3 linked regions of the Coturnix japonica genome follow. Each later gene encodes a partner of the first gene's protein in a complex. Links are inferred from orthologs where the notes say so. Each region holds a gene or a part of one and is shown on either strand. Other genes may lie near its edges.

Evidence for each region.
Region 2: THOC3 (region 1) and THOC7 share a complex: the UniProt entries of both Homo sapiens proteins name them as parts of the transcription/export (TREX) complex. The link is inferred for Coturnix japonica from reciprocal best matches to the Homo sapiens genes THOC3 and THOC7.
Region 3: THOC3 (region 1) and SARNP share a complex: the UniProt entries of both Homo sapiens proteins name them as parts of the transcription/export (TREX) complex. The link is inferred for Coturnix japonica from reciprocal best matches to the Homo sapiens genes THOC3 and SARNP.

Annotation. Positions count from the first base shown.
Region 1 is NC_029528.1:12,220,196-12,230,141, forward strand, and holds THOC3 (THO complex subunit 3), read left to right. Parts: upstream 1-5,690; 5' UTR 5,691-5,795; coding exon 5,796-5,978; intron 5,979-6,218; coding exon 6,219-6,375; intron 6,376-6,999; coding exon 7,000-7,204; intron 7,205-7,471; coding exon 7,472-7,633; intron 7,634-7,722; coding exon 7,723-7,823; intron 7,824-8,147; coding exon 8,148-8,311; 3' UTR 8,312-8,882; downstream 8,883-9,946. Other genes in the region: SIMC1 (SUMO-interacting motif-containing protein 1), read right to left, coding at 634-854, 1,561-1,645, 1,725-1,881, 2,203-2,331, 2,853-3,026, 3,381-3,526, 3,961-4,030, 4,185-4,405 and 2 more. UniProt on the Homo sapiens protein: Component of the THO subcomplex of the TREX complex which is thought to couple mRNA transcription, processing and nuclear export, and which specifically associates with spliced mRNA and not with unspliced pre-mRNA.
Region 2 is NC_029527.1:10,987,390-10,997,335, forward strand, and holds the start of THOC7 (THO complex subunit 7 homolog), read right to left. Parts: upstream 6,051-9,946; 5' UTR 5,960-6,050; coding exon 5,941-5,959; intron 5,640-5,940; coding exon 5,522-5,639; intron 4,616-5,521; coding exon 4,488-4,615; intron 4,170-4,487; coding exon 4,083-4,169; intron 2,828-4,082; coding exon 2,770-2,827; intron 1-2,769. UniProt on the Homo sapiens protein: Component of the THO subcomplex of the TREX complex which is thought to couple mRNA transcription, processing and nuclear export, and which specifically associates with spliced mRNA and not with unspliced pre-mRNA.
Region 3 is NC_029544.1:1,004,332-1,014,177, forward strand, and holds part of SARNP (SAP domain-containing ribonucleoprotein), read left to right. Parts: intron 1-125; coding exon 126-225; intron 226-457; coding exon 458-504; intron 505-1,618; coding exon 1,619-1,686; intron 1,687-2,963; coding exon 2,964-3,015; intron 3,016-5,097; coding exon 5,098-5,171; intron 5,172-5,457; coding exon 5,458-5,486; intron 5,487-5,870; coding exon 5,871-5,896; intron 5,897-6,092; coding exon 6,093-6,161; intron 6,162-8,174; coding exon 8,175-8,357; 3' UTR 8,358-9,846. UniProt on the Homo sapiens protein: Binds both single-stranded and double-stranded DNA with higher affinity for the single-stranded form. Specifically binds to scaffold/matrix attachment region DNA. Also binds single-stranded RNA. Enhances RNA unwinding activity of DDX39A.

The sequences.
Region 1 (9,946 bases):
TGAGTTGGTGGCATTGGGTACTCATCTTCTTGATAGTACATACTTGACTGCACTGCAGGCACTTCAGTGCATTCTAGAAGTGCAGCCCTTCCAATGGGTGCTGCTTGTCCAGTCCCATCCCTTGCCATGGCTGAGGTACCTTGCTTGAAGTCACATAGATGTGTTTGATTTGGAACAGAAAGGTTCATCCCTTGAGGACTGAGCAGCGTGTCTTAGAGATCTTGGCACTGTGAATCTTCTCTCCGAATTCCACACTGGTGCTTTTCAGAAGTCTATCAGCTTTTCCCATGTACTGAACAGATATGTTGGCATTGTGCTTGCTGTGTGAACTGCTGTCGCTTAATGGCTGCTTTAGTCTGATGCCATTCCGAGGAACAGCAGCAGAGCTTTGTGTCTTTTGGGCAGGACACAAAGATGGAAGAGCCAATAAGTAGAGAAACAATTTATTTTTTTCAGATACACAAAGTGCTTTGTAAAACTGTAGGATGAGACAAGTTGGAAAGGAAATTGAGGCTACAAACCAGTGACTTCTTTGTCTAAACACTCAACAGGACAGATGACATGGGAATCTGCAGCATGAGCCAGGTCTTTACATTCATAGCTTTGTGCTTTCTGCCACAATGGTTGGCTTCATCAGGTAGCAGCGACAATGAGAAACATCTTTTTGAGCATGCACACTTTGTCCTTGATCTGCACAGGAAGGGGCTCCTCCAGGATCTGCTGCATTCGGCCGAGGAAGTCCTTTATCTTCAGGTGAATGTCCAGCTGGCTGATGTCATCGTCATCTTGGAGTTTGGGCTTAGCTTTCTTAATGATTAAGTCCACCCGCTCACTGAGTGAGCTCCGTAAGTGCTCTGCAAGAGGAAATGCTGTTGGGGGGGGAGGTAACACAATGGGCTATCTGACCTGTTAAGGGTCAGATTGCAGAATCCCTTAGGCAGCACTGTGCTGAGGTAAAGAACAGCTGGGAACTGCACAGTCTTTCATTGCTATCCTTGATACTTCTGCTTGGCACTGATTCCTCCTCCTCAGTCTGCACACAGAAAGTGCCTGAGAAACCTTGAGGGAGCAGGACTATATAGATCCTTCTTCTAGTGCTAGCACCAGACTGGACTAGTGGAGCCTGGAAGGCGTCAGTGAGCTTAATGCTCAAGATATGTGATCATGGGTTTCTCTGCATTTATCTGAGAGCCTTATTAACCCCGGTAAAGCAGCAGAAGTTGGCAAGAGACTTTAAGGAGTTTGTTGTTAATTTTGACTTGCCCTACGCTGTTCTAAACCAGTGTGTATGCAACTTAGTTATACTCTGCTACCCGGCTTTGCAGTGCTGGGGTTGATGCTGTAGGTTGCAGGCTATTTCTCAGCAGCTAAATGTGTTGTGTGCTCTGCATGATGTGTTATCATTTCTTTGCTCTGAATGCAGAGAACAGTTATTGGCAAGAGTGGAAGCGTGTTATCTTTCTAAGGCTGTGAGCTCACTAGTGATGAGATGAAGAAGTATTCCTTGGGCTCTTCCACTGCATGAGACCATGTTTATTAAGGCCAGATCAGGCTACTTACCTGTTATTACATTTTGGTAACTTAGCAGCAGCAAGCTCAGGTATTGCAGCAGCTCATCCCATTGTTGCCATGTAGCTACTTCACCCTATGACAATAAATGGTATTTGGTTTTAGGAGAGGTTTTCTCAGGAGAGGCCATGCAAGGGAGAAGGATGGCTGGATACCTGGTATTGCAGCAGCACAGAAGAGTGGCCTAGAAAATAGAGGATCTTGGACAGAGACAAGGGCAGGTTTGTGGGCACATCACAACTGTGCTGGAACATCAACTCGAGCAGTTTGCAGCGCAGCAAGTTGCTCTCCATGGTGTTTAAGAGGGCTTCCCTGCAAGACAAAGATTTACTCTGATGGAGACAGCACAGCCTGACAAGGAACAACTACTTCAGTGTGTTCCTTCATCAGCTGTGCTGATGTGGATTACTGCCTTTTAGTCCCACTTTGCAGTTCTGAGGTGAGAGAATCGGTTGTTCTCAGCATCATGCTGGCCTGGTAATACTGATGGGATCTCTCAGTCCTACAGCTGTGTTCGTGCTGGCTGGGTCAAAAGTGAGTCCATCTTTCTATGCTCCATACTACTTAATGCATCCAGAAACAGGGAGTAAGACTATTGTTCAGAAAGGAAATGCTGCTTTGCACATTTCTCACCTTTGGCTCCTTACGGCAATATTCAGTAAAAATGGGAATATTAGATCTGCGATCTTACAGGAGCTGCAGTTGGGAGATCTGTCCACTTCCACTGCAAAGGACAACATCCGCTGGAGGAGGAGCATTGCCCTAGGTAAGAAAAAGAGTTAAAACAAAAACCAAAACCCATTGGTTTGCAGAGAAGATGCACTGAAGATGGCATCTAGTTCAGCCTTCTGCCTTGGAGTGAGAGACATCAAGGAATGCATCAGGTTACATTTGTTTTGCTTCCTACAAAGCCCTGTGGTGTCTCTTAGAATATATTAAATCTGATGCTCTTGGAAGCAGAGCCAATTTCCACATGGACATTAGGGGAGCTCTCAGTGGTTGTACTGAGTGTTGGTAGAGCAGCATGGGGCAGCCTGCACTGTGGGTTGAGAGCTCTGGCCTCATTTAAGAGGAAGGCATTCAGTGAACCAGCTTCCTGCCAGGCAAGAAAGTCTCTTGCTCTTTTAACCTGGTCTTTACCTGCCCTTAGAGGAAAACGCTAAGAAAGTTGACCACAGGTACAACCTGGCTTCCTTGGTAAGATGGAGACAGCAAATGGACTTGCTTTTCTAACTTGGACCCCATATTATCATCAGCAGGGAGCCAGCATTTGTGGGACTTACTTCTGGGCAATGAATGTTGGTGGAGTCAGCTGTGCTTGGTCAGTGCTGGCTGGCTGTGCTGCAGATGAGCTACCTTTGGCTTCTGCTGACAAGCGTGTCATGTCTTGTGTCTGCTCCTGCAGCTGGAAGGAGCTGACTCCTGTCACTACTGCAACCAACCATTCAACCACCTCCCTGGGACAGAAACAGGAGTGTTAGATGGGCCTGGCTTTGCATGTTCTGACCTCTAACTCCACTTGGAGCTTGAAGAAGGACTACGAGGATGAAGGATATGTTATGATTGGACAGTCTTTTCTTTTTTTGTTTTAAAAAGAAAAGTCTGCTTGTGGCTGATAATGCCCTTGCATCATCTGTGGGGTTTTTTTTTATGGTCATAAACATGCTCCTTTTCTTTATAGCTGGCCCCTATGCTTTACTTTTCCAAGCTTGTTTCTTGAAAGGTCTGAGCTGGAGTCTCAACAAACATTCCATAAGCTCCTGCCTCTCTGCAGCTAATGTAAGTATGGGAGAGGAGAACGCATCCCTTACTTGACATTGTTGAAGCATGTGTCACAGGAAAGCACTTTCTTGGTTATTGACTTCTGCAGCAGGTGCAGTCTCAGGTTTTGCTGGAAGTCATCCTCCAAGGTCTGCACCACGTATTGCAGGAAGAGGAGTCGTCCAGGGAGCTTCTCCTGAGGGCACACAGAGATGGTGTGAGTCTGATGGAGCTGCAGGGTGAAGAGCAGTAGGAAATGTGGCTTTTTGGGAATGAGGTGATGTATGTGACTGAGGAATAGTGCAGCTGTTCTCTAGGAGGGGTTGCATGGTTTCAACGATGCCCCAAAGCCTTGGCTGGGGCTGTTCGACTTGGGCTTCTGGCATATTGCTCCAGTTCAAAATGATTTTGTCTGCTGCTGTGGTTTCTTCAGATTCATCAACCTGCCTGCAGTTGTGCAGCATGTTAAGGGGTACCATGGATAAAAACACTTGCTACCTTCAGCAGCTGCGATAGAACTGCACACTGGACTGAGCTGTTGTGCAGCAGAGCAAGGCCAGGTGATGCAATGGGGCAAGTACCAGGTACTGGGAGATCCCTGCCTAATGTGACGCATGTAGTGCTGAGTACCTGGCTCTCCATGGTGTGTTTCAGCAACGTCCAGTCCCATCCTACTGTGGTGGTGTTGGCTGGATGGAGCCTGCAAGGACAACACCATCTAATTTGTGCTGAACTGCCACACTGTCTGCCTTGATGTCAAGCATCCCACCCACCCAACCCCCCCCTTCTATAAGGTAACCCTTATACTGGGCACCTAACCAGCCCCAGGGCACGGTGGCAAAGGGAACACGTACATTTGGATCTTCATCAGCAGCGTGTAGGTGTTCTGGAGGATCTCCTCCTGGTGGGTGTGCAACAGGATGTGTCTGATCAGATGGGAGATGATTTCTTTAGGAGGGCAGTGCTGGCTGGAGATGAAGTCACTCAAGAAATGCAAGGTTCCCTCCAGGAAGTTCTCCTCCATGGTGGTGCGTACCATGCTCATCTTACTGCTGGGGATGAGCTCAGGTTTCCGCTGTGTGCAAGGTAAGGCAATGGGTGAAAGCCAGCCCCCCACGGTACAGAGGAACCTAGCAGTGATTTGAGGCCCACCATTAAGAGAATTGCAATAGCCAGAGATCCCAATGGCCTGGCAAAACTTCCCCTGGAAGTTTTTCCCCTGCTCTGAGTGGACCTGGCTGGGCAGTAGCTGCTCTGAACCCATTTACCTGTGGTGTTCCCCTGTCAGATGTTGCACCGTGAAAGAAGAGGTGCTGGACTCCGCTCCTTCTGAAATAGCGCAGTTTGTTCAGCCAGGCCATGCTGTCAGAATTAGTCCTGGCTGAGGTCCCATGTCGGATTGCTCCTTGTGAGACACCTGCTTCCAAAAAAGTCCTTTTGACCTTCCCTGGGCTCTTGGTGACGCTGGCTGGAGCAGGGCTCAGTCTTGGAGGGAGCTCCCTTCGTTGGAAATGAGGGGGACTCTCCTCTATGCTGCGTGTGCTGCCATTACTGTCCAGGATGGGGGGGGGTGGTGAGAACAGCACTTGATCTGGCTGTGTGTTGGTCAGGGAACTCAAGTCAGTGTTATACGTGGTGGTGCTGTAGCTCGGTTCTTGCTTGCAGGAGAAGCTGTGGTGGCTGAAGGCAGGAGAGAAGCTGCTCTTGTTGTCTGTTTTTCCTGCTGTGTCTGTACCAGGCCATGTGGGATAGCCGTGTAAGGGTGCTGCAGGGCTCAGCTCTGTGTTCGTCTCCGTATTTTTCTTTGTGCTGAAGCAAAGCTGGGGATGAGACGTGTGTGTGATGGGGGGAGCACACAGCTGGTCCTGGGCAGTACAATCTGCAGCCGGGGGAGGACTGCAGGTGTCCTCCTTTGTCAGGTCAATGATGGGGATGTAGTTCCATGGCAGTGGCTCTGAGTTTGAGTCCTCCTGGGTGAGATCAATGATCTCCTGTGGGGACAAAAGGGTCAGTCAGTCAGCAATGATAACAGCTGGGTGCCTCGCTCCTCCCCTGCTCAACTGGGGATCCCTTAGAGAAACCCGGAGCCCGGCCATGGGCCCTGCACCCCGCTAACAGCCCCCCCTTGTATCCAGCACTACCTTCACATCCATCGCATCGCAGCACGGCTCTGGAGCTACGACACCACGGAGCCTTTTGTCAAGACCTGCAAAAGAAAACCAATTTCAATCCATGTTTCCTGCCCGCGGCCCTTCCGTCTCCCCTCGTAGGGCGCCGTGCAGCCCCGATGCCCGCTCTGCCCGCCGCGTCCCCTCGTTACCGGGCACCAACTGCCGTGACGGAACAGCGGCCGACGGATGCCCGGCAACCCCCCGCCCTCCGTTCTGCTGGGGGTCGGGGCTTCATAGGGCCGGGCCGGCGGAAGCTGCGTCAGGGCGGCGGGGCGGGCGGCGCGTTGGGGCGGGATGGCGCTGTCTCCGTACGTGCAGGCCATGCAGGAGCTGTTCCGAGCCAACACGCGCAGCCGCGAGTTCCCGGCTCACGGAGCCAAGGTTCACTCCGTGGCGTGGAGCTGCTGCGGCCGCAGACTCGCGTCGGGATCGTTCGATAAGACAGCCAGCGTGTTCCTGCTGGAGAAGGACCGGCTGGTGAGCGGGGGGAGCGGGCCGGGAGCGGGTGGGACTGAGAGACGGAACGGGAGCGGGGTGCTGGGCAGGGCGGCCACCCTGCAATGCTTCCAACACATGGCTGTGTTGGAAAGACCCTTAAGAGCCCCCCCAGCCCTGCTATGGGTGGCTCACGCCCCCTCAATCGAGCTGCCCTGGGCCCTACGCGTGGCCTTTGGCACCTCCAGGGATGATGGGACTACGGCTCTCCTCCTTTTCCAGGTAAAAGAGAACAACTACCGAGGTCACGGTGACAGCGTGGATCAGCTCTGCTGGCATCCCAGCAACCCCGACCTCTTCGTCACCGCGTCCGGGGACAAAACCATCCGCATCTGGGACGTCCGCACCACTAAGTGCATTGCCACCGTCAACACCAAAGGTGGGGCCCCTGACATTGAGAGGTCTTTGCTGCTTTTGGTTTCCTATCACACTCTGTTAAAGGGTCACGGGAGCTTGTCTGGAATCTATGGGCAAGAGGCTGGTGGCTGGGGAACGTGTGTGTGCAGAGAGATGTGGCAGAAGTCTGAGTTTACATGGATTCATAAAGCAGCCATTCTTATTAATGGGTTGATTAGCCCAGCTACCGCCTCTGGCCTAAGAAATGTGAGTCTTCCAACTGTCAGGGTTGAGAATGGAGTTGTAAGGTGGCATATCTGCAGCACTGCTTGGTCCTTGTTCACACGCGTGTACTGTTGGATGTTCTGCATATCGGGGATCACTGGGTTAAGAGGGTCTTTTGATTTGATCTTGCTTTGTGGTTACTGTGTCTAAAGGGAAGGGATGGCAATGCAGTCATATTGGCTCAAAGCTACAGCTCTCAGTTTAATTTTCAGTGCAGAGTTTCAGTGTTAAATTGCAGACCTGGCAGTTCTTCCCATCTGGGAGTGATTCAGAGTTAGCAGAGCAGACTGTGGCCTCAAATCAGAAACAAAAGCCTCCTGCCACTGTGACTCTTGCAAACTGCTGGGTGGAAATGGGACCTGCTGCTTTTCTGTCCCTCTAGGGGAGAACATCAACATCTGTTGGAGCCCTGACGGGCAGACCATTGCGGTGGGGAACAAGGATGATGTTGTCACCTTCATCGACGCCAAGACGCATCGCTCCAAAGCAGAGGAACAGTTCAAGTTTGAGGTGAACGAGATCTCCTGGAACAACGATAACAACATGTTCTTCCTCACTAATGGGAATGGCTGCATCAACATCCTCAGGTGGGTGCCTGTGGCAGCTGCTGGGCAGGGTACCAGGGTTGGCTGCCCTCGTGCATCGCTGCTTGTGGAGGCAGTTTGCACCACTCTGCTGCTTTGGTGGAACCAGAGTCCCACATCCCAGTGATTCCCAGTCACTGTGATGGCAGCAAACTCACCCTGCAGTGTTTTGTTTCACACCTGGTCCCTGCATGTCTCACACCTGCCCTGCTTGCACAGCAGCCCTGTGCTTCTCTCACTGTTTCCTGCCCTCTCCCTTCATCTCTGCAGCTACCCAGAACTGAAACCCATTCAGTCCATCAATGCCCATCCTTCCAACTGCATCTGCATCAAGTTCGATCCCATGGGGAAGTACTTTGCCACAGGCAGTGCTGATGCTCTGGTCAGCCTCTGGGATGTGGATGAGCTGGTGTGTGTGAGGTGCTTCTCCAGGTAGGTAGTGCTGTGTCGGAGCTATTTGCTCCCCTCTCTGGTGACTCCATGGGGGTTCACTCACTGTCAGCTTTGCTCTAATGCTGCAGGCTTGACTGGCCTGTGCGAACACTGAGCTTTAGCCATGATGGGAAGATGCTGGCATCGGCGTCGGAGGATCACTTCATTGACATTGCAGAGGTGGAGACAGGTAATGGTTTGCTTTTGGGAAACAGAAACAAGGGAAGCTGATGGAGGTGTGCTGGTGTGGCTGGGAGGGCACGGGAAGAAACGGCTTGGCTGTGTGCAGTAGAGCACCGAGAGGGGGAGCCTCTGCCTCATCAGACCGCTGTCGATATGCGTGTCATGTCCATGCCTTGTCACCAGGCGATTAAAAGGCGCTGAAGCAGCGTTTGTTCCTCCTCTGCCCTGCGTGGGAGGGAAGAGGCAGGTGTTTAGCTGCGTTGTGTGCTGCGGGTCAGCCTGCAGTGGAGAGCAGGAGGCTCCAGGCTGATGTGGGCCCTTTTCTGTGCAGGAGAGAAGCTCTGGGAGGTGCAGTGTGAGTCCCCTACCTTCACTGTGGCCTGGCACCCGAAGAGGCCTCTGCTGGCCTTCGCCTGTGACGACAAAGATGGCAAATACGACAGCAGCCGAGAAGCAGGCACTGTTAAGCTCTTCGGGCTCCCCAATGACTCCTAATGGAACTGCAGCAGGGCAGGGAACCAGGGGCCACAACACTTCCCCACGCTCGGGGATGGAAGAGTGCTTAGTTAGCATAGGATGGGGTAAGGATGTGGGTCCTCTCCTTACCTGCTTGTCAGTGCCGTCCCCTTTGTCTCAGCTCCACGTGTGCTGCTCTCAGAAGCATTTGTAAAAAGCAGCTTGTGTGCTGGTGAGGATGGGGGGTGCCATCTCAGGGCTGCCTCATCCCTGGGCATGGAAGATCTGTTCCAAAGGCAAACAGCCAAAGAAAATCATGGAATGTGACTGCTGGAAGGGACCTCCCGAGGTGGGAGCGCTGCTCCAGGGCAGCAGTGTGGAAGCCCCAGCAGCAATGAGCAATGATTGTCCCTTCTGTCCTCCCCCATAGCCCGGTGGTGAGGGCAGCCATGGAGCACAGCCTGCCCCCTTCCCTATGCAGAGCATCACAGGGGCTGCATGGGAGGGTGTGGGATGTGAGCTGGGGTCGTTCCCCCCCCAGCTGTGGGATTTGTGTTTTTTGTATTTGTGGTTGTTTTTATAATTTTGATAAATCCTCTTCCATAACGAAGTGCCTGCAGCTGCTGTGGACACAGGAGGAGATGAGTGGGGAAAGGAACGTGGTGCTAAGTGACTGCTCCCATTACCCCCACGGTGTGGCCGCGGGTGGGCCCCACTGGCAGGGGTCTGTGTTAAGGACTCGTCCCCATCTCGTGTCACCCCACCAGAGGGCGCTGTGCCCCCACACTGGGGACAAGATGATGAGGGATGCTGCACATAGGATGGGAACAGCCACACACAACTGTCCCCATCCCGTAACCCAGCCCTGCCCTCTGCTCCAGCTAACAGCACCCACACCAATGGAGCAGTATTGTGGTGGCAGCAGAAGGCACCTGCCTGACCCACGGCTGCCGGCCTAAGGCTGAGCTGTCCCTGTGCCCCCCATCCCCTCTCCCCCAGCGGAGCAGAGCGGGTCCCTTCCCCGCCGTGCGCTGGGTCACGTTGCAGGCAGTCACTGGCGCAGCCTGCCTGTGATGGAGACCTTGCCTGCACGATCTCTATCATTTCCTAGCCTAATATTTCCTTCTGACAGAGGCTTTTCCAGGTGACTGCACTGCTGATGCCGCCTGGGTAACAGCTGAGCTTTTTGCTGTTAAATGATGGCAAATCAGTCGAAGCTGAGGCTGGCTGCAGGCAGAGCCCTCCCAAGCTGTGCTGCATCAGGATTGCAGTGTGCCAGGGGCCCTGCTTGCCTTGGCTTCTGCTCCTGCTCTTGGGGAAACTGGGATTGAGGTGCCTCCAGCCTCAGCCCCAAAAGGTTGTGCATAGAAAAAGAGCCCTTGTACCCTGTGGGTGACTCCAGTTAGTCATGGGGAAGGGGCCCTCCTACCGTAGCCATGGGTCTGCAGGATGGGCTGCAGAACCCTTTTGTCCCCATAGAGGGCACTGGGAAAGTGGAGGCAGCTGGGCTGAGGGCAGCACTGGGGGACTATGGAAAGCCTTTCCCTCCACCTGTGGGTTTCTGGATGCCATGCAGGCTGAGGATGAATCCCGTGCCCTCCAGTAACCTGCTGAGTGGCTGGGTCTCAGCTCTGGTGGGAGATGGAGGGATGGGGAAGGTGACAGGGAAGTAAT
Region 2 (9,946 bases), on another chromosome or scaffold:
AAGAGATAAAGGAAGTATGCAACACATGTAATCTTGGTCATTATTTCTAACTTTTTTGCATATGTAATCTGTCAATCCCTCTTCAGGACCCTTCTGCATGCATTTGATAGTTTTCTATTCTCATCTGGTCCACTACAATCCTTTCTGAGATACAGAATAGCATAGAATAATAGGTACCACGTTGCAGACTAGCTTACAAATGAGGATGAAGCAAGCATCCAGTTTGGCCCTTCTCATTTTCCTGTAATGTCTCTTGTAATATATGATCCATGTGATGAGAACAACCTCTTTTTTTTACAGGTCAGGTGGATTGAGGCTGATATTAGCAGGCAAAGCTACATACAGGTCAGCAAGGGAACAAAGTTGTTTTTTTCTGAAGTGCTGAGAGCTATTGCAACTAGTCTGGGCAGGGAATCACAAAAGGGCTTCCAGTCATGATGGCTGGGAAAAAGCCCTGGTTTAATACAACCTGAGGGTGTTGTCTATTCCTGAGGTAGTACACTGGTATCTGGAGGGGAATGCCTTAAATATGGCTGGGTGTGGCATAGTAAACCTTCCTATTATGGAAACAGGCTGACAGCTTATAGGCTTGTGCAATGATTTCTCTAGTATCTGGCTTCCAGTTTCTGAAAGGCTTCTGTTTCACCAAACATTGTTTACGCATTGCTGTCAGCTATAAGCAAGCAGCAAGAAGACAAGCAATTTTCTAGTAACATCCAAGCTATACCTGATGTTTTACTTCTTTTACTTTCAGCTCTGGAAAATCTTTGCCTAATCTTCTCATTTTTCTGTCTCCTTTTCTAAGACTGGTGTCATTGCTTCGTGCTGTAACAGCTCTTCTGATAAGGCAGTTAATTACACTGGCACTGCCATTTAGAGGCTCAGCTCCAGTCACTTCCTGAATTGGCTACTATTCATTACTCATGACTAAGTCAATAACAACTTCTCCTCCTTTGTGCTGCAGGACTCGTTGTTCCAAGAAATAGTCCCTTAAAAGCATAAAAAAAAAGTCTTTTTCTGAACTTTGTCCTATTGTGCTGTATGACTCGCTAAAGCTATAAATGTAACTCTTGCAATTCGCCATGACGTTTCTCTTGACAAGAAGTTTTCTCTAGAGTTTTTAGTGATTAGGAGTTGTTAGTGAGTCTCCCTGCATCCTGACTTACTTAAGGGGTGGTTTCTCCTGATTCACAGTATGTGATTTTCTATATTTTTCTCTCAAACTAGAGATAGAAACTATGTAAAGTGTTTTAATTACAAGGCTTCCTTTTTTTAGTGTTCACGTAGAGAAGTCAGTTAAAGCTGGAATACCTATAAAAATGTTTTCAATGTCTGATTTCTCTATGTCTGATTTGTAAAATCAGTAAAATAAGAGACTCTGCCATAGTTCAAGTCCATGTCTTGGACTACAGATATAAAGGACTTAAGGACACAAGGGGGTATGTTGTAGACACTCCTACAGTGCATGAGCAAAGGGGTATTTCTAACAATATACTCCTCTAAGGAGATAAGAAATTCAGTTTAAGAAAAGCCAAACTGCTAAATTCATTAGCTGAGCTTATTGCCATTTACAGCTCTGCTCAAGATACTGACATTTGGATGTGTTGTGCAAAATTAAAGCAACCTCCCCTCCCAAATCTTAACAATCTGGCACCTTAAAAAAAACAACAAAAAAACCCCTATCCATTAGTTGTTTCCATTCTTAATCAACTGACATATCTGAGAAGCTTCACTTTCAATAATCCTTTTTTATGAACCCTTGATAAGTGGCATGTGTTGATTAGTGAAGTAAGAAATAGCTACAAGAGAATGAACTGTGATAACCAAGACTGAGGTAATGAAATCCAAGTAAAATAAATGAGAAAGAATGAAATAGTGTCAGAAGTTTATAGCTAGACAAATTGCTAATATTAGGGTAAATAACATGATCAAAAATCTTTCTTCTGCTATAAAACAGCATGGGACGTGAAATAATAGCTTCCCTCTACAATTTCATTGAAAGCTGACAGCAGGATAGGAACAAGCTACATTTAAATGAGAAAGTAATCCGATGTCATGCCTTTAATCAGGTAAAGAAGAACAAACTTGTAGATGCTATGAATCCTGGAATGTTTCTGTGGCTTAATAGTATTCAAAAGATGATCTCCTCGTGATTGCTCAAAATGACTCAAAAGCACAGGTAGTGATCCAAACCCAGCTGTGACATGTAATACAGGAGGTTATATGCAGGACGAGTTGGACAACAGGTAGGTCTTACCTACGTGTCAGGGCAAGTTATATTGTGGTACACAAGGTAGTAATTTATAACCAGGCATGCAGGAACAACTACTAGAAGGAAAACACGGAACAACTCCACAAGCTTTCTCTTGCTTTCTCTAATTCTTATTCTATCTTACTTGCCTGTGTGATACACATTCTGCATGATTACTTGCTGCTGCACTTGACAGCACTGCCGCGCTATCTCTCTTTCCTGATCAACTTGTCACTGATAAACTGTCGTGCATTTACATCTGAGTTCATCCATTCACCTTAACAATGGAAAAACTTCAAATACAAAATTATTAGTAATGCTTCTGAACCCATACAGATAGAGATCAAAGGAAGAAAGCTGATAAGGGCACAATTCTAAAATGAAACACAAGTTTTTCTTGCATCAAAAGAAACTATGAAACAGGGAGGAAAAGGTCAAATAGTGAAACCAAGAAAATGTCAAATCTGCTGACTTTTAATTTGCTGGTTTATCATAATCTAATGCAGTCTTATACTTACTTCAGTGTTTCGTGTCTGTCTGGATGGTGCTGTATGACTTTGGCCAATGCATCGTATTCTGAAAGAAATTTAAGTATTACTAGTATAAGTTCTGAAGGTAGCGATATAAGAATACAAAATCTCCCATCAGCTCTTTCTACTTCTTAAAAAAGTGTTTTAATGTTTTCCAATCTCTACATAATATCTTGCATATAACAAAGGAACAGTCAAGCAAAAATGTATAATAATATAATAGAACATATCCAAGTAGATGACTAGTGTTGCTTTTATATATAATCTAATATATATATATAATGTATATATAGAAAAATCTGTGGATAGGATACTACACAGACATTTCAGATTTTTAGAGAAAAATAAAATGCTGCAAGAGAAACAGCTTTCTTCCACTTTGTTTTGTACACAAAGAACAACATGATGGTTATATAGACAGTTAAGGTGGACAGTTCTTGAAGGTACTATTCTATGTACACTAACCACCACATTCAGATGGAAAACGTGGGCAGAACATCTTCAAAAGCAAACACTTCAGATCCGTGCTTGTGAAGATTTAAGTACTCTACTTTCCTACTGCTTAAGGCTTTTTTCAGTCTCTAATAATAGAGTCTAACATTATCCACAAATCATATGTGCATGTGTTTTTAAAGGTTTTAAAACCTTTCACCTGTTACAGCTGGTCTTTCTTTCTTTCTTTTCAACTATTTTTACATTTCACTTTTTAGGAAGCAAAATTTTACCTTCCCAATTGCTAAATTTTGATAAGACTTACAGGGCAATGTTTTAAATTTCAACTAAAAATATCAGTATGTCTTTTAAGGATAAGGAACAGATGTCTGTAATACCTGGTTTAGAGGTATTTTGCAAGGCCATGTAAAATGAGTATGCAACTGGTACAACTGTTCTTGTATTAGGTACTACTTTTCCTTCTAAAGAGCTGAAGGAATATACTTATATAACTTTCAGTGTTGGTTGTAAGCTTATTTAACTCTTTTGTCTTGCTGCTACTAATGTGCTTTAGTTCTTAAGCCAACTGAATTGTCAAAGGATGCTTGGGAGGGTTTCTTTGGCTTGAGAACACCTCTGAGCTACTCTCTAAGTTCTCCTCATGTTACATCACTAAGATTTACTGCCTTAACCTCAACAACCAAACTTTCAGCAGTCTGTGTGGAACCTACCAGATAATGCTCTATGTAGCATCGATGGAGAGCATTTTCTTCTGAGTTTTCAAGAAATATGTCATCTGTTTTCCAGTACAATGTATTTTAAAAGATAACACATTAATAAAACCACCCAGTGTAGATAATGCTGCTTACCCTGGCGATTCTTTCTAATTCTTTTTGCTTGCAGGATTTGTTTCTTGCATTCAGAAATCTTCTCGTGTGCTGCAGCTATACTATTTTCTTTAACAGAAAGACACAAATCAAACAACAAACGCCATCAATCCATTCAGCTAAATCATCACAAACAGCACTTTGTATTTTATACTGCCTGCTATCTCCACGGGCTTCAAAACCATCTATGCCTTGACAGACTAAAAACATATTTTACTTATACACATTTTACACACTGACAAAACACGAGGGCAAGTATGAGTGGTATTAAAATAGTTTTTCTGTCACCCATCTCATGTTTACATTTTGTTTATCAGAACTGACTTGAGTTTCTTTATGAAAGAGAAATTCAAATAAGCATAGAATATTTTTTTTCTCATTTTTTACCTATATCCTTGTAGATCTTTTCATAATTTTCCATCTCTCTCAGGTTCATGTCATACACCAGAAGAGTTTTTCCCATTGAAAATTCACACTGCGATAAAGTACTCAGCATTCGTTGGTACTGACTGTAACTGAAAGCAAACAAGACATTTATTCCTCAGCAGCATGAAAATACCTGCCTGTTTTTATATCACGAGGAAAATGAAGCCTCAGGTAATGTACGGAACAGTTAAAACAGCAATTACTAAAGCAATAAAGGACTTCAAAGATTCAGTGCACAACTGCAAAAAGTACAGTTAAAAATGAATGCTGCACCGATTAATTTTATCATCATAAAGGTATAAAGCAGCATTACAGCATGGGCAGATTGCTCCAGGGATGATACTCTTCCCAACTAGAGCCAGCTCTGTGCCCACCACGATTAATATTTTAACACTCCAGTGCTTCTCTGTGCACAGCATCATCACAGAGTGCCCTCCTGCACTCCAGCATCGGCACAGACCCTACTGCAGAACAACATGTTGCTTAACCTTTAGTTCTTTGGCCTGTTTGTTTTCTTCTTTCTTTTCAGGGCAGTACAGCAGAAGCAGCACAGCCCCCACCTAACAGAACAAATGCAGAGCCACCAAATGGAACACTCAAGTCGTGATCCTGCTGTAATAATGGGACTGCTGAATCGTGAAGCAACGTGCCAACCTCCAGAGCCTTCGCTGTTAGATTTCAGGATGGTTTGCTCTGTAATTTTTGACCCATCTCCAGTGCATGTTTCTTGCCACAGCTCCTGGGCTTTGTCCAGAGAACCACACAGGGCTGAACATAGCAGAGATCATAGAATGGCTATGAATAGGACTGTAATGATCATCTAGTTTCAACCCCCTCCTGTGTGCAAGGTTGCCAACCACCGGAGCCCAGAGCCACATCCAGCCCAAATGGATGCATTTTAACACAGTTTACTTTCTTTGTCTAAACAGATGCTCAGTTTTATGCTCAACTGCAAAGCAATGAGGTTTCAAGACTTAAAAACAGCCAACAAATACCCTTCCTCCTGAGATCCAGAGTTACACCACTTGATGAAACTCTTCACCAGCAGATTGATCCGCCTGTCGTCCCCAGCTCCGTCTCCATCAATGAGAAGCCGTTTGCGGATAACTTCATCTGTGGGAAAAAAAACAACTCGTGTTTAGCGCTCCGTGCTGGAAGCGTGTGGCACGGCAGGAGCTCACCCAGCAGAATGTGGGTGAAATAAAACGCGTTCAATACGCGGGGCCTGGGATCGGCAGGGAGGCTGGGCCCGAGAGGCCCGATGGAGCCCCAGGCCCCGGCACTGAGCGCAGCGGAGCGGCCTGGAAGCGCTCCATGCGGGGTGAGGCCGCCGCGCAGGGGTGCGTGGCTTCCCCGGGGTGAGAAACCCGGAGCGGGGACAGCGAGAGGGAGGGCAGGAGGGAGGAGGTCTCACCGTCGGTCACGGCCCCCATGGCGGCGAGCGGCGGAGCCGGCGGGGCGGCGGCAGCAGCGAGTGAGGTCAGCTTCCCACAATGCAGCCGGAGAGAGCGGCGGCCATGGAGGGGGAGGCGGCGGCGGCGGCTGGGGCCTGAGCCGGCTGGCGGCGAACGCGCGGCCCATCGGCGGGGAGGGCCGGCCGGGAGGCCCGCACCCCGCGCGGAACCGGCCCCCTGGCGAGGGGCGGCCCCGCCAGGTGAGAGGCCGACGGGGGAGGGAAGCGGAGGTCCCCGCGCCCGCAGCCAGGCTCCACCTCCCAACCACCGCGCCCACGACCCCGCCGCCCCCCTCCTGGGCCGCCCCGCCATGCCCTCGGCACATGGCCCTCGCCCTTCGACGCCTGGCATCGAGGCGTGGGGCCGGCGCTGTGGGCTGAGGGGAGATGGGCTGAGCGCCTCGGGTCACGCTTGGGATGAGTCCCTGGTGTGTGGCTTGACACAAGAGGCTGAGCATTGGGGCAAGGGAAGGATGTGGAATGTTGTTCCTGAGGTGTTTCCTGGGGTGCTGTGCTGTGGGTGGTAACCAGAGCGGGTTGTTCCTATATGGAAAAGTGAACCGGTGCTGGGGTGTGCCGGGAGAAAAGAGGTATTAAGCTGTTGGATGAGATCAAGTGTTGGGTTTTCGCCTTTTGGACCAAAATGTTGACACCTGTGCCATGCTAAAGTTGATAATGTTACTTTAAGATACATTGGTACAATAATGATATGTGAGATGCATGTCCAGGCCCTGACATCTTGGCATTACCTTCTCCTCTTGGTTGGACACTAAGTACATGCAGACTCATTCTGCTTGTTGCTGTGTATTAAGAGAAAATGGGTGTAAGGAAGAAAGAACCGTGTCAGCATGTAGTGTCATCTCCATCTTCCTGGTTTTAGAGCCCTGAGTGACGACGGGTTCTTTTGTTCTGGATAGAGATGTATAACAGGGGTTTACATATTACTAGATTGTTGCAAGCCAGCACTTTGACTTGTGAAGTGGCACCTGGTAGGTTCTTTGCGAGGCACTATTGGGAAGGGCTACAGAGAGTGGTCATTAAAGCTCCATCTGGATTGAAGGTATTTCCAGTGTAGAAAAACTGGGTAAATATGCTGCTTTCTTGATATTTTTATGTATCTCTGCGTGATTTGTGAGTGATATAATTTGATGTGAAAAGTGGCGCTTTCCTACCCTACTTAGATCTCCTATCTTCAGCATCTTGGAGCATCCTGGTCTTATCAACACTTAATACTATTCATGCCATTCTCTTAGCTCTTTCCTTTTCTACTGTGATGAGAAGTTGATCAGAACTGTTGGGTGTTGAGGGTGCGAACTGTCAGTTATTTGTTTAATAATGCAAGAATACGTCTGTGTCATTTTCTGCCATTTAATCTAATATTTTCCCACTTATTGTTTATCATTCCAGTGTTGGTCAGATAGCCTTATTCAGCTCTCCACAGTGACAAATTCCTGGAGTAATTAATTTAGAACACAACAGTCCGTATAATTAGTTAATAATTTTTAATGACTTTTACGCCTTTCTTGTCTTCATTGGTGTCACTGATTACAGCATTCTCATAAATGCTCTGTCCTGGGTCTTATGGTAAGAATTTAGCTGTTATTTTTTCATTCTAAGACAGAGCTTTCAGGTATCATCAGTGTTCATCAACTTTCCTGTTTCAAAATGGGAACTGGAACTTGCTAAACACATCATGAAGAATCTCACTAAGGCTACATATTGATGTTAAATCCTGCTGTCTTTGCTCTTCTGTCTTGCCACGAGGTGTTTTGCCTAAGAAGCCAGTTCCAGCTTGCTGGATTTCTATACTCATTGAGTTTTCATTATGTCTTTGGAGTCTTCTTTCAGTTCGCTCCACTTCCAAGCAGAGTTCCTCATCTTGTAAGTATAAAACAACCTTTGTAATACATGTATGGGGTGCATGTTGCGCTAGGCTGTAGCCAAGGATGTTTTCTGCATTAATTCAGTGTTTGATGTAGGTCTCTGGAACGGGCTTGACTCGCTCTTATTTATCCTTCACCAGCTCTTGCATTCTGTGCAGATTCCATCAGCTACAGTCTTTTATATAAATCCTTCAATTAACAGGCAGAAATACTGCATAGCATTGAACCTTCCTTAAGAAATCAGTATTGCAGATCCATGTGGTAGGAAAAAATGTCTTGCGCAAGGCAAAGCATATTCCTCCATGCCAGGTAATTTGGAATAAGTACCTGTGCAAGCTTTCAACCAAGCTAAACATGATGTAGATTTTCCTCTTTCCTTGGATTCCTTTACGTGTGCCACATGTTAATAATAATTTGTTACACACCTGTCCTTGTCTAACCAGTGAAATGATCCTCTGTAATGTTTCCAGGTGTCCCTGGATACAGTGTAAGCTGGGTACATTTAGCATTGGGTTGTTACACATGTGGAAGTGGCTCAGATTTTCATCATTATCCTCTTTTTGTTCCTAAAAATGGCTTTGAAGTACACTTTATTATTTTCTTAATTGAAGAAATCTGTCAGTGTTGAGGTTTTCTCTCTTGAAAAGAAGCTCTGAAATAATTTCACAGACTTTAAGTTGACTTTATACATCCTCCCCTTTAACTATGTGTATATATATATATATATATATATATATATATATATACATACTTTCCAACTGCAGAAAGAATTAAAGGTGAAGAAGCTTTTCATAGTATTCAAGGGTATAATGAGCTATGATTTTTAGAGCTAAGAAAACGTCTTTAACTATTGATGAGGTGGATTTAAAATATTTTTCCTAAGCCGCCCTAATAATTCATGAGGTGGTTTTAGATTCCAGGTTTTCTTCGTGTTGAATAACTTCTAAATCAGACTGTTGTGTGGCATTAAATCTTACAGAGATCTAAGTATAGTAGGTCAGAAACTACAGGGTATTTTTATCCAGTCCAACCTATATTCTTGTCAGAAAGTCACACCAAATTTATTTAGTGAGACCTATTTTCTGTAAGCCTAAGTTTAGCATTACCGCCCTTTAGTTCTTTGTTGATTGTATTCTGTGATTTTCTGCAAGGCTGATATTGAGCTGACCTGCTGCTGTCACCCTGTTTTCTCTTGTAAATTACTGTTACGTTTTGTCTGCATTCTTCTTTGGCTTCTTTACCCTCAGTATTTACTGCAAATCAGCAGCAGTGTTTCAAGTGATTGCCATCTTATTCTGTACGAACTGCAGATGTTAAAATATTCACTCTTGGCAGATAGGACCGATTTTTATTTTTTTATTTTTTCAAAAAATAGCTTTTTATTCATTTATTTTTGTCTAAACAGTGTGATTCGTAGCCTTGTAAAAAGCTTTCCTAACACGGATCCATGTGTTTGCACAGAGCTAGCACGTTTTCATAGTGTTATATTATAACAAGAGAAGGGAGAGCAAGAATGCTCATTGGGACTGTAGGTTCCTGCTTGGTGAGAGCATCAAGGTGTTCTAACATGCATCTTGTAGAACTCAGTATCATGAAACTGCAGCAGGATGTATTAGGTAGTTTGATTTTTCTCTTGGTGTAAAAATCATTAACCCCAGAAGTTCCAGCTGCGTGTGTGCTGCATAGGAGGTTCTATGCTATCTCTGTGATACGTGATTTAAAATGGCTTCGGGGTAATTTTTGGGTGACACTTTGTATTTCATGCATGTTATGAGGAAGCAGCCATTTATTTTTTTGGAGCCATTTGGAACTGTTTTGAAAGAATTAGTCACTAATCTGGTAGTCTCTTTGTTGGCAGGATGTTTTCAGTATGTTATTACTATGTATTTATGTTTTCCTTCCTCAATGTATCAATTCACTGGTTTGGTAGCATTCGCGCTGTGCCCTGAAGATCACCAGTGGCATTCCAGAGTTTTCAGAGGAAGACATGGACACTGATTGAGATTCTAATAGGGACTAAGAAGAAGAGTTTGTCCTTGCTGGAGCTGAGCCAGGTGGTAAATGTTTGTGTTTAACCATGGCTT
Region 3 (9,846 bases), on another chromosome or scaffold:
AGGAAGGAAGGAGGGAGACATTAAAGCTCCTTCTAAAGGCTGTTAAAATACGATGCTTTGATGCTGTGTTATATGTGATATGAGTGAATCCCTCCTACTAACCGGCTCCTCTCCATCCCCATCAGTTGGCTGAGCTGAAGCAGGAATGTCTCGCCCGCGGGCTGGAGGCGAAGGGCAACAAACAGGATCTGATCAACAGGCTGCAGGCCTACCTGGAGGAGCACGGTGGGTACCGGGTACCTGCGGGTCACAGCGCTCATAACCAACCCCCTGGGGGCAGATTCAATGCTGTCAATGGCGAAGAGATCCCTCAGGCAACGGCTGTTGTGTGGGGTGTTGAATGGAGCTGAGCATCCCCTGTTTCATCATCAGAAATTCATCGTTTCTTTATCTGAGAAGCCGAAGGCGTCGCTCAGTCATTTGTATCAGCGACTGACCCGCTGTTTTTCTTCTTTAGCTGAAGAAGAAGCCAACGAAGAGGATGTTCTGGGGGAAGAAATAGAGGTAAAGCTGAGGGATGGGATGTTGTGTTGGCGGTGTGCGGCCTCTGGGTGGCTGTGTTGGGCATTGATGGGCCAGAGCAGTGCAATGAGCAGCAGCAGTGCAGGAGATCTGTTGGGCTTGGGGCTGTGCTGGGCTTGGGGCTGTGCTGAGTTTGAGGCTCTGCTGTGCTTGGGGCTGTGCTGGGCTTGGGGCTGTGCTGAGCACTGTTGGATCTGAATCGGCCAGTTTTGGTGCTGGGGGCTCAGTGCTGCTGTGTTTGCATGGAGAATGAATGAGTGCACGGTGGTTTCTGTATGAGCTCGTGGTCACGATACGTGGCTGGTGTTTTAGGAGGGGGAATTCTGCCTCTTTTCAGCAGGAAACGTGCTGTTGTTGTGTGTTTGTTAACAGCAAATCTATTGGGGTTTGTTGTGCTTCTGGTAAGGAATCCCTAACAACAAACTGGTGCCCTGATAGTGGGCAGAGCTGCAGGAGGGGACTGAGCCTCAGAATTGGACCTTTATGTTCTGGGACGTACAGATATCCCAGCTTAAAACACGAGCAGAAAGCAGCTCTGCTGCTCAGCACACATCTCTGCAGGGACATATGTGGTGCATGGGAGCTCTCCCCAGTTGTCTATGAAGTTCTTGGTGGGAGAATTGAAGTGGACCTCATTGGATGAGTGTCTGACACTGAGCGTGAGCACTGTGTGCTTCTGATGCTCTTTACTTGCAGGCCTGAGAATGTCTCAGTTGGGATAATTTCCTAAGCCTGTGAATCCCAAACTGTTGGGTAAGGCTTTGGGGGGTAAAAAAGAGAAGAACAAGCAATTCCTGTCCATAAGGTTGCTCATACCCTGCATTATTGAGCAGAGTCAGACCCCATTGGGGAGGAGGAGATTTCAAGCACACAAGTAGGAGACAGCAGCATGGGGAGACGCAGCTGCTTGGGTTCCCTGGTGATGTGTGGTCTCACCAGCTGCTCTAGCATGAAATTCAGATACTTATGGGTATGTTCAGGCTGTACTACAGGCATGTTGCCTCTGAGGACCCAGAAGAGCCATTGCTGCCCTTATTGTGATGTTTTGCTCTTGCTGAGTTGCTCTCTGACCTCCTCCCAACTCGTTGCTTTGCAGGAAGAAGAGCAGAAACCAGCAGAGCCACCCGCCAAAGTAGAAGAGCCTCCTGTAAAAACGCCTGATGTGTAACTATCCCTTTCTACTTAATCCAAAGCAAAACTTGTGGGGGATGCTGTAACACAAGAGATGCATGGCAGGGGAGAGCTCTGCCTGCCCCTAATGCTTGCAGGCTCTTTTTAAGGCTCTGTGAGCCCATCCTGTGGCTGGAGGGGCTGCAGTAAGGGGAGCTGGAGTTCTGTGGCCTGATGGCTTTGCTGGGGGGGAGCTGTGTGGGAGCCCTCAGAGCGGGGAGAGCGCCTGGCCCCAGCCAAATTGCTTCCTGTGAAAGTGTCATTAAACCATTACTACCTTTCAGGGCATAAAATGAGAAACCTGTCCAGGAATCTGGAACAAAAGCAGCGCGTTTTTCTAAATGGGAGACCTTAATGAGGCTGGCTGTGACCTACTGTTTTATGGGAGTTTTTTAGAGGAGGATGATGCTATTTCATTTAGCCTGGGAACTTCCGAACTTTGTCTCTTCCTCCTTTGTTTTTTCCCCCCCCTCCCCTCGAGCCCAAGCTCTGTTTTCTGAGCATAAACTTTAGAGCACGCCCACTCCATTATATTTTTGTTCGCTCTTTTTACTGGTCCTGCTGTTGTCAGCTGCACATTGTTCAGGAAGTGTGTGTTTGAAATGGAGCCTGAGCCCAGGACGTTGGTGCTGACCTGGGGAGAGCTGCCTGGGGCTGTCCCATGAACTAGAACAGAATGATCCTTTGTATTTCGGGGCCATAAAGGAATAAAGCTCCTCAGGGCACGCAGTTGAGACTTTGGGCTTCTAACAGGAGCTGAATGTTGCCCTTAAGAGCTTTAAGATGTAGATCTGGGTGTGCGGATCTACAGCCTCTTGCTGTAATACCCACCCCACGTGCTCCTGCAGCACCCCATTGAAAATGCAGGATGTTTCTCATGCCTTAAATAGAGTTCATCCTTTCTCCCAGCCTATGTGAGTGGGTGTGAGTGCTGAGGGTGGTTCTTGTGTGTGCTTTGGGGGCTTCCAACTTGTTTCCCATCATTGCTTAAGGAACTCAGGGCTGCTGAAGGCACTCACTGAGCTAGGAGGAGAACTGGTGGCTGTGTCTTCACCAGCTCATTTGTTTCCTTACACAGCTCAGACCTCAGACTCCAGCATCACTGTCAGGGCTCTCAGCCTGCTCTTGTAACAGGGATGCTGACTGTTCCTCTTGAGAACAGAGCTTGACTTGAGGTGATGCTGGGTTTAGGAGGAGAGCCCTGATCTCTCTCTCATTGAGATGTGCTAATGGGAATTCTGACTGATGTTTCTCTTTCCCAACACTTGTAGGAGCACTGAAAAGAAAGTAGTGAAAATAACATCAGAAATCTCACAGATGGAGGTAAGGTTCCTTCTGCTGCTTCACCCTCATCCCCAAGGTATCACTTGGCTTGTTTGCTTCATTCAGAGTCTCTTTTTTTTTTTTACATTGCTGAGGCTTTGTCAGTGTTTGCACACATTGCAAACCATTATTTTGGCTTGGTTAATTAATTGGTTATTAATGACCAGGCTGCGGCTGCGGGCTGACCTAGCAGCAGCATGCTGACCCCACAGCACGTTCCGTTTTGCTGTGATCTTATGGAATGCTTCTCTCTGCAGTCTGGAGGTGCATCCTTCCTTGCTGCCATTTCTGACCCTACGTCGATATTTCCAACTTAGAGACAAGCTGAGCTGCTCCTGGTGCATCCTTCCATTGCAAAGATGGCTTAGTCTGATAGATATACACTGTCCCATTATAACTCCACTGTCTAAATTGTGCTGCCCTTCCTGCTGCAACATTCCCTGCAGTGATCCCCATCTGTGTCCCTCAGGGCTTGCTGTAAGCCTGCTTGCTTCAAACACCAAACTACAAAGCTTTGCTGAGGATATCCTTCAGGGAGCAATGAGTTTGGGAGACACTAACAGATCATCTCATCTTTATCTTCTGTAGCTTTGTCACTTGTATTTGCTGGGCTTATTTAAAACAAACACGCTTAGAAGCCTCTGATTCCTCTGGGAAAGCTTTGTGAAACTCAAAGTTTCAGGGATCTCACTCTGGTTCTCTAATCACCCCCCCCCCCCATTTTAGTTTTCCACTCGTGCTCCGTAAGAAAGCAGTCAGTATGAAAACATGATTCTTGTCTTCCTGCTGTTCGCTGCTGCTTTCGAGCTCTAATCTCCTGTTTGGGACAGGAGCATTTCCACAGCAACCACAGGGGGATGTCGCAAGCAGAGGATTATGACCTCAGCTGAAGGAGTAATGAAGAGCAACGTGGTACCTGGTGGAGGATTGATGTCCCCCTGTGATTCAGGGCTGCCCTTGGCCATAGCAGCTTAAAGAGCTCATTAACAGACCTGCTGACGTTACACACTCATCCTTTGTTGGGTTTTATTCCCCCCCCCTTCAAATTCCATAGAGCCAAATGAAAGGAAAACCACTGTTTTGGTATTTTATGGGGCTGTGTATGAACTGAATGGCTTCCAGCATCATTCAGATCTGTTAGAAGAGAGCATCGAGTTATTTATTCCATACGGTGCATCGTTGATTGTTGGAGGTGGGCTGCTCAAGTTGTAGGAAATATTGACCACTTCATAAAGCAAGGAGGCAGGTGACTGGCAGAGAAGCCCAACGAATCTTTGCCAATTGCCAAGCCTACTCTTGTTGAGACTATTATATGCTATACATGTTTAATACTTCTGAACATCAGGACCCATAGGACTGACAGGAGGAGGGCTACCTTCAGTCATTGCGCCTGGTTATATGGCTAAATAAATATTAGCTGGCTTTGCTTTACCTGTTTTCAGCAATAGCAGAATATTGAAAGGCTTCATTCACTGATGGAAGGTCAGAGGGGTCATTTCTTTGTGGGATGATCTGAGCTGTGCTGCCACTGCCTTCTATTGGGCTGTTGATCCAGCATGGCTTTTGTGTGGCCGCCCACTCTATTGGATATTTCTTTTGGATACCCTTCAAAGAGCGAGGATAAGGAAGTGTGCTTTGACCTGAGCGGTGCCACGTCTTTCTGTCTTCCAAGTGACTTCTCAGCTTCGGCGCTGACACCATTAGGAGTGACATTCCTAACCCATCTTCTCCAAACATTTATGTTTTGATGCAGATGTTTATTGCGCTCCTCGCTGAGCTTTTGGCCAAAGGAAATGTTTCCCTGAATATCGTATCTTGTTTCTCTAATCTCTAAAACACCAAACGCATTTCTGGGCCCTTGTGTAATAACAGAATGTGAGATATTTCCTTTCAGCTTTTAAAGGGGATTCGAATGGTTTTTTGGTGCACTTCTGATGTCCCCAAGCCTCTCTGTGTCTCGGGCACACGCACATGGAAGCGTTCGCCCATCCCTTATTAAGTCCATGTGCCTCTTTCCATTTCCTCTCTATAGACTTCCAGTCCTCACTCTCCTTCTCTGGATTCTTTTTCTCCCACCTCCAGAGAATGCAGAAGAGAGCTGAGCGCTTCAACGTGCCCGTGAGCCTGGAGAGCAAGAAGGCAGCGCGTGCAGCTCGGTGAGTCCCCCATCCTCACCTGGCACAGGCAGCAGCTGCATTGCTGCAATGAGGCTGTTTTCCCTTTGAAACAAGTGAGGAATTGCTGTTGGCACATATAGGAATTACTGTGGTAGCTCCATTAGCCAGTAATACCCACATCCCAGCTCCTCTCAAGCAGTCGGACTGAGGTACACTTAAGCATTTGGAGGAAGAGTCTGTGCTGTGCTTACTGAAGGCTTGATGTATTAGATACCCACCTCATGTTTGCTTGGGTCTCTCACTGAGCTCTGTTTGCTTTCTGCAGGTTTGGTTTGGCCACAGTTTCGACAAAAGGTGAGAAGGTGAAGCTGAACCAATTCATGGAGTGACCTTACTGCAAATATTTATTTATTCCTGGGAAAGAAAAAGTTGCTGGTGAGGCTGTCTTTGTTTTACCATCTGTCCACGCCCAGGGTTTCTGAGCAGGAGTTGTAGAGCTGGGATGAAAAGCATGTGAAAAGTCTTATGGGTGGGAAAAGCTGACTTGGGGATGACATTTGGAGGCTCATCCTTGAGTGAATGGTGTGGAAAGAGGGAGAAATGGGACAGCAGGTCTTCACTGGTCAGACTGGTGTGCGCTTCCAGCAGTGCTGTGACTTCATTGCTCCTCTTCTCAGATCAATTGCTGCTCCAGATATTTGCTCTCTAACTGAGTTTTCTGTTTTCTTCTCATCTCAGGCCTCTCTGCAGACAGCAAACCTACGGTAAGAGATGCTTCTTGTTCCTAAATTGGTTGTTCTGAGCAGTCTGGGTTCTGCTTTCAGGCCCAGCTTCCCAGCAGCACCAGCTGAGTTTTGGGGGAGCACAGCACTGGGGTTGTATTCTGGGGGCTGCAGCACAACCTTCTCCCCACAATGTGAGCGACAGTGATTTACAAACCAGTTTCCTGTGTCTTTGTAGGTAAACATGGATAAATTAAAGGAAAGGGCTCAGAGATTTGGCTTGAATGTCTCTTCGCTCTCCAAGAAGGTAAGGTGCATTGGCCTCCAGGATACTTCTTGCACCTCCATTGGAGCCCAGGGCTCGTAGCACACAGCGGCCGTTCAAAGCCTCCTCACTGCTGGAGGTTTTACGTCGTGTTATTAATGCAGCAGTGTGGGTTCCAGGGCCCCGGGGGGACTCTTGTCAACATCATTTCCTTCATCTTTCCCTCTGTTTGTTTTGTGTGAGGCTTAATATGGTTTGGTGAAAGTTGTGACGGTTGAATAGAGGTGTCGAATTTGAAGGTTATAGGGCTGGTTTGGACGTGGGAAGGGAGGCTGTGTAGCAGGTTGTGTAATTGGTTTGGTTTTGGGTGTTTTAAGTGCACATTTCTGATTGGGGGTAGAAACCAGGTCTGCAGAGAGCAAGCTAAGGAGCTCTCCGAAGAGAAAGAGGCTGGAGCTCCCTGGTAACTCTTTGAAGTACAAATGAGGTGGATTTTGGAGGGGGATAAAATTGGTTTTGAGGCTTTGGAGATATTCCCACAAGCTTCTGAGCACGGGTTGCCTCCAGTCCTTGTGTGTAGGAGCTGATTTCATTGATACCTTTGTGTGTTGGGCAGGGGGATGCAGGGCACGCTGGGGTCACACGTGGCTGTGGTCGTTCCCTGATGAGCCAGGAGAAAGTGAATGCAGCATGTTTAGGTCAAATAGGAGGGTGGGTGAATACAGTGAGATGAGAATGGTGGCATCCTGTGTGCTTCCTGAATGGAAAACGGCCCCGTTCCTCTTCTGGCCTTTAACAACCCTTGTGCTGCAGCACTGCTCAGAAATAGTGGGGGATGCAAACGAATTGTCCAGCCATAACAGCTGGCTGATGTTGGCATGGAGATTTCTCCTCTCAATCTGGAAAAGGGTAAGAGCTCGGGGAGGTTGATCTTCCTGCATCCCTGCAAAATGAGCCCCTCTCCTCCTCGGGGGGATGGATTTGACCTTTTTTGCTGCCTGTTTCTCTATGTATGAGCGTTCTGCTTTATTCCACCGGCCCTGGGAATTCACTGATGTAGAAAATATCTGGCATTGGAGGTCGCTGTTTCCCGCCCCCCCCCCCCCTCCCTCCTCTGTCCCTTTGGGGGTGGGGGAAGGAGGGCAGTGCATTAAAGCCGGGATACATGGAGCTCAGGGTGAGAGGCTGCTCAAACATCATTAACCCTGTCACCAGGAGCTCCCATTTTTCAGGAGGAATATATGCCCTGTCAGTGTTTTATGGCCGTGGCCTTCTCTGGTCAGGACTGTGTGTCCACAGCTCAGCAACTGGGAGCAAAAAACCCCAAAGCCCAGGGTGCAAACTGGGGGGCTCTATGGGTGCTGCTGAGCTCCTCCTGCATAGGTGGAGCCTCAGCATCGGGGCAATGCCATGCCCAGGGCCATGAGCCTGCTCACCAGCTCTCCCTGCAGCTTCCCCACTCAGCCTTTGTACCCACCTCTCTGTGCAGTGTCCTTTTATTCCTATGTATTTTGTTTGGGGGGGTGGTTTTGCTCCACCAGGAAGTCGAGTTCACGGGCTTAGAAGTGGCTTCTCCCACTGAGCGGAACACACTCGCATTCCTGGGAGGAAGATTATTGGTTACTTTAATTAGCTGGTAGCATTGTGCTTCCCACCTGGGTGTTCTTTATAGCTTTTCATTACGGGGGAGCCTGGTGGTTGCAAATGTTTACATGTGTCTTGGCAGGTTTTTATACCATACGTTGCAGCAAGGAGAGAGGGGGGGGGCAAAGAAAAAACAACCAACCCAACTTTACAATAAAGCATTGTCTCCACGGAGCCACACTTCATTTCCCATTCAAATTGGTTTGGGGAGGGGTAGGGATGTGAGGGGGAGAATCGTAACTAAGGGGGGATTTCAGCCCCGCTGTGAGCAGGGAGCAAATGCGGAGCTGTGTTAGTGGCTGTGAACTCATCTGTAGCTTTGAACCCCTTCCCCCCCCCCCCTTCCCCCTCTGTTAGCCCTCTGGGGTAGAAATCTTTCAAGTTGAAAATCCTCTTCCTCTCTGCCCAAAGGGGGAAGCTGAGAGCGCAGCGCTGGAGCAGGGCAGGGAAGCTGGGGCTGCACGGGAGCAAGAGAGAGGCAGGTGCTCATTTGTCTCAAGGCAGCACGGGGCCATCAAATTAATTTATAAAATAAATCAAGCAAGCGTTTATCTCCCCGTAGCACCGACTCTCCCCTTCGAGGCCTCCTGTTAAAGCACACGGCTCTTCTGACCCACAGCTCCCATCCCTTGACTCCTGTTAGCTGTACTTAACCCCCCACACTTGTAAATGTTCCCTCTCTGCGGCAGCTGCTCCCTGTGCCGCTCCGGCTCCGCTCCCCAGGGGAGTGATGTGGAGCTTCGTGTTTTATATGCAGGGTTGGATGCTGCAGAGGGGGTTGCCCGCGCTGAGGCCGCGGTTCAGAAGCATCTCTCGGAGGGGATGCTTTGCTCTTTATGTATAAAATAGTCTCATAAGTCTCCCGCTGAGAAAGCGCTGGCACCAAATGGATAGCGAGAGCCCCTGGGATAGCATAAAAGCTCTGTTTGCCACCTTTGTGTGACATTATCAGATACCTTCCTGGATCCGAACAGATGACCAAAATAATTGGCTTTTCTATCTCCTCCTTGACGCCGAGGTCTCAAACTGCCTCGCAGAGCAATTAGCTGATTAACCCTCCTCTGTTCGAGGCCGGGCGTGGGGAGGTGAAGCTGGGAGGGGTTGGGGGGGGGTCAGTGGGAGTCCAGAGCTCATCCCTGGGCTGCAGGGAACAAAGGATCCCAGGGGGAGGGGGGGGGATGTGCGCTCCCAGCCTCATTCTCAACATCCCTGGGTGACTTTTGGGGTAGGGCAGGGGGTTCTGTGCTCAGGGATGGACTCAGCTCTGCCCTTCCTGGCTACGAATCCCCTTGGGGAACTTCACTTGTGTTCGCAGAGCTGCTGGGCTTCCATTTTGCTGCTGGAGCGCAGCAACACCAGGGTTATGAACAGCAGCAACAGCGCCCGGGCGGACGTTGGCTGGGAAGAGTTAACGTTTTAATGCGTCCATCAGTCACGGCTGTAGGTTAACACTGCTTTAATTCTCGTTAATGAGAGCTTATTTCTCATGTGGCAGCTGAGAACCGCTGTGCGCGCTGCCTGCTATTAGCCAAGGAGAGCTGGCCTGCTGCTGCCTGACGTCGGCGTGGGGATGGGGGTGAGCAGGGGGCAGGAGAAGCAGGGAAAGTTGTGTGTATCCAAAATACCCCAACGAGAGAGAGCAAACAATTGGTTGAATTGTTTGGCTTCCAGCGAGCTTTGCAGTAACGTGCTGAGGAGAGGAATCCTTTTCCTGGAGAGCTGTTGTTTTTCTGCCTGAGATCTTTGCAAACAACCCCTGGAGGAGAAACAGGGAAGCAGGGAGGAGGGTGATGGTGGTGGTGGGGAGAAGTGCTGATGTTGGCAAAGAGGGACGGGGTCGGTGGGAGAGGAGAATTGCTTCTGGCTGACACCAGACAGTGCAGAACGTGGTGACGTGTGCTGGTAGCTCTGAGCGCTGGGATTGATTCCTGTGGTTGGTTTGGCCTCTAGAAATGAGCCTCGCTGTCTCTCCTGCTCGTCCTGACGGGGCTCACGTACCCCTCTGTAATTTTCTTTTCCCCAAACTTCTCTATTTCTGGCTGCTGTGGGCTTTGTGTTGCCCTGCTCTGCGTGGGACACAGAG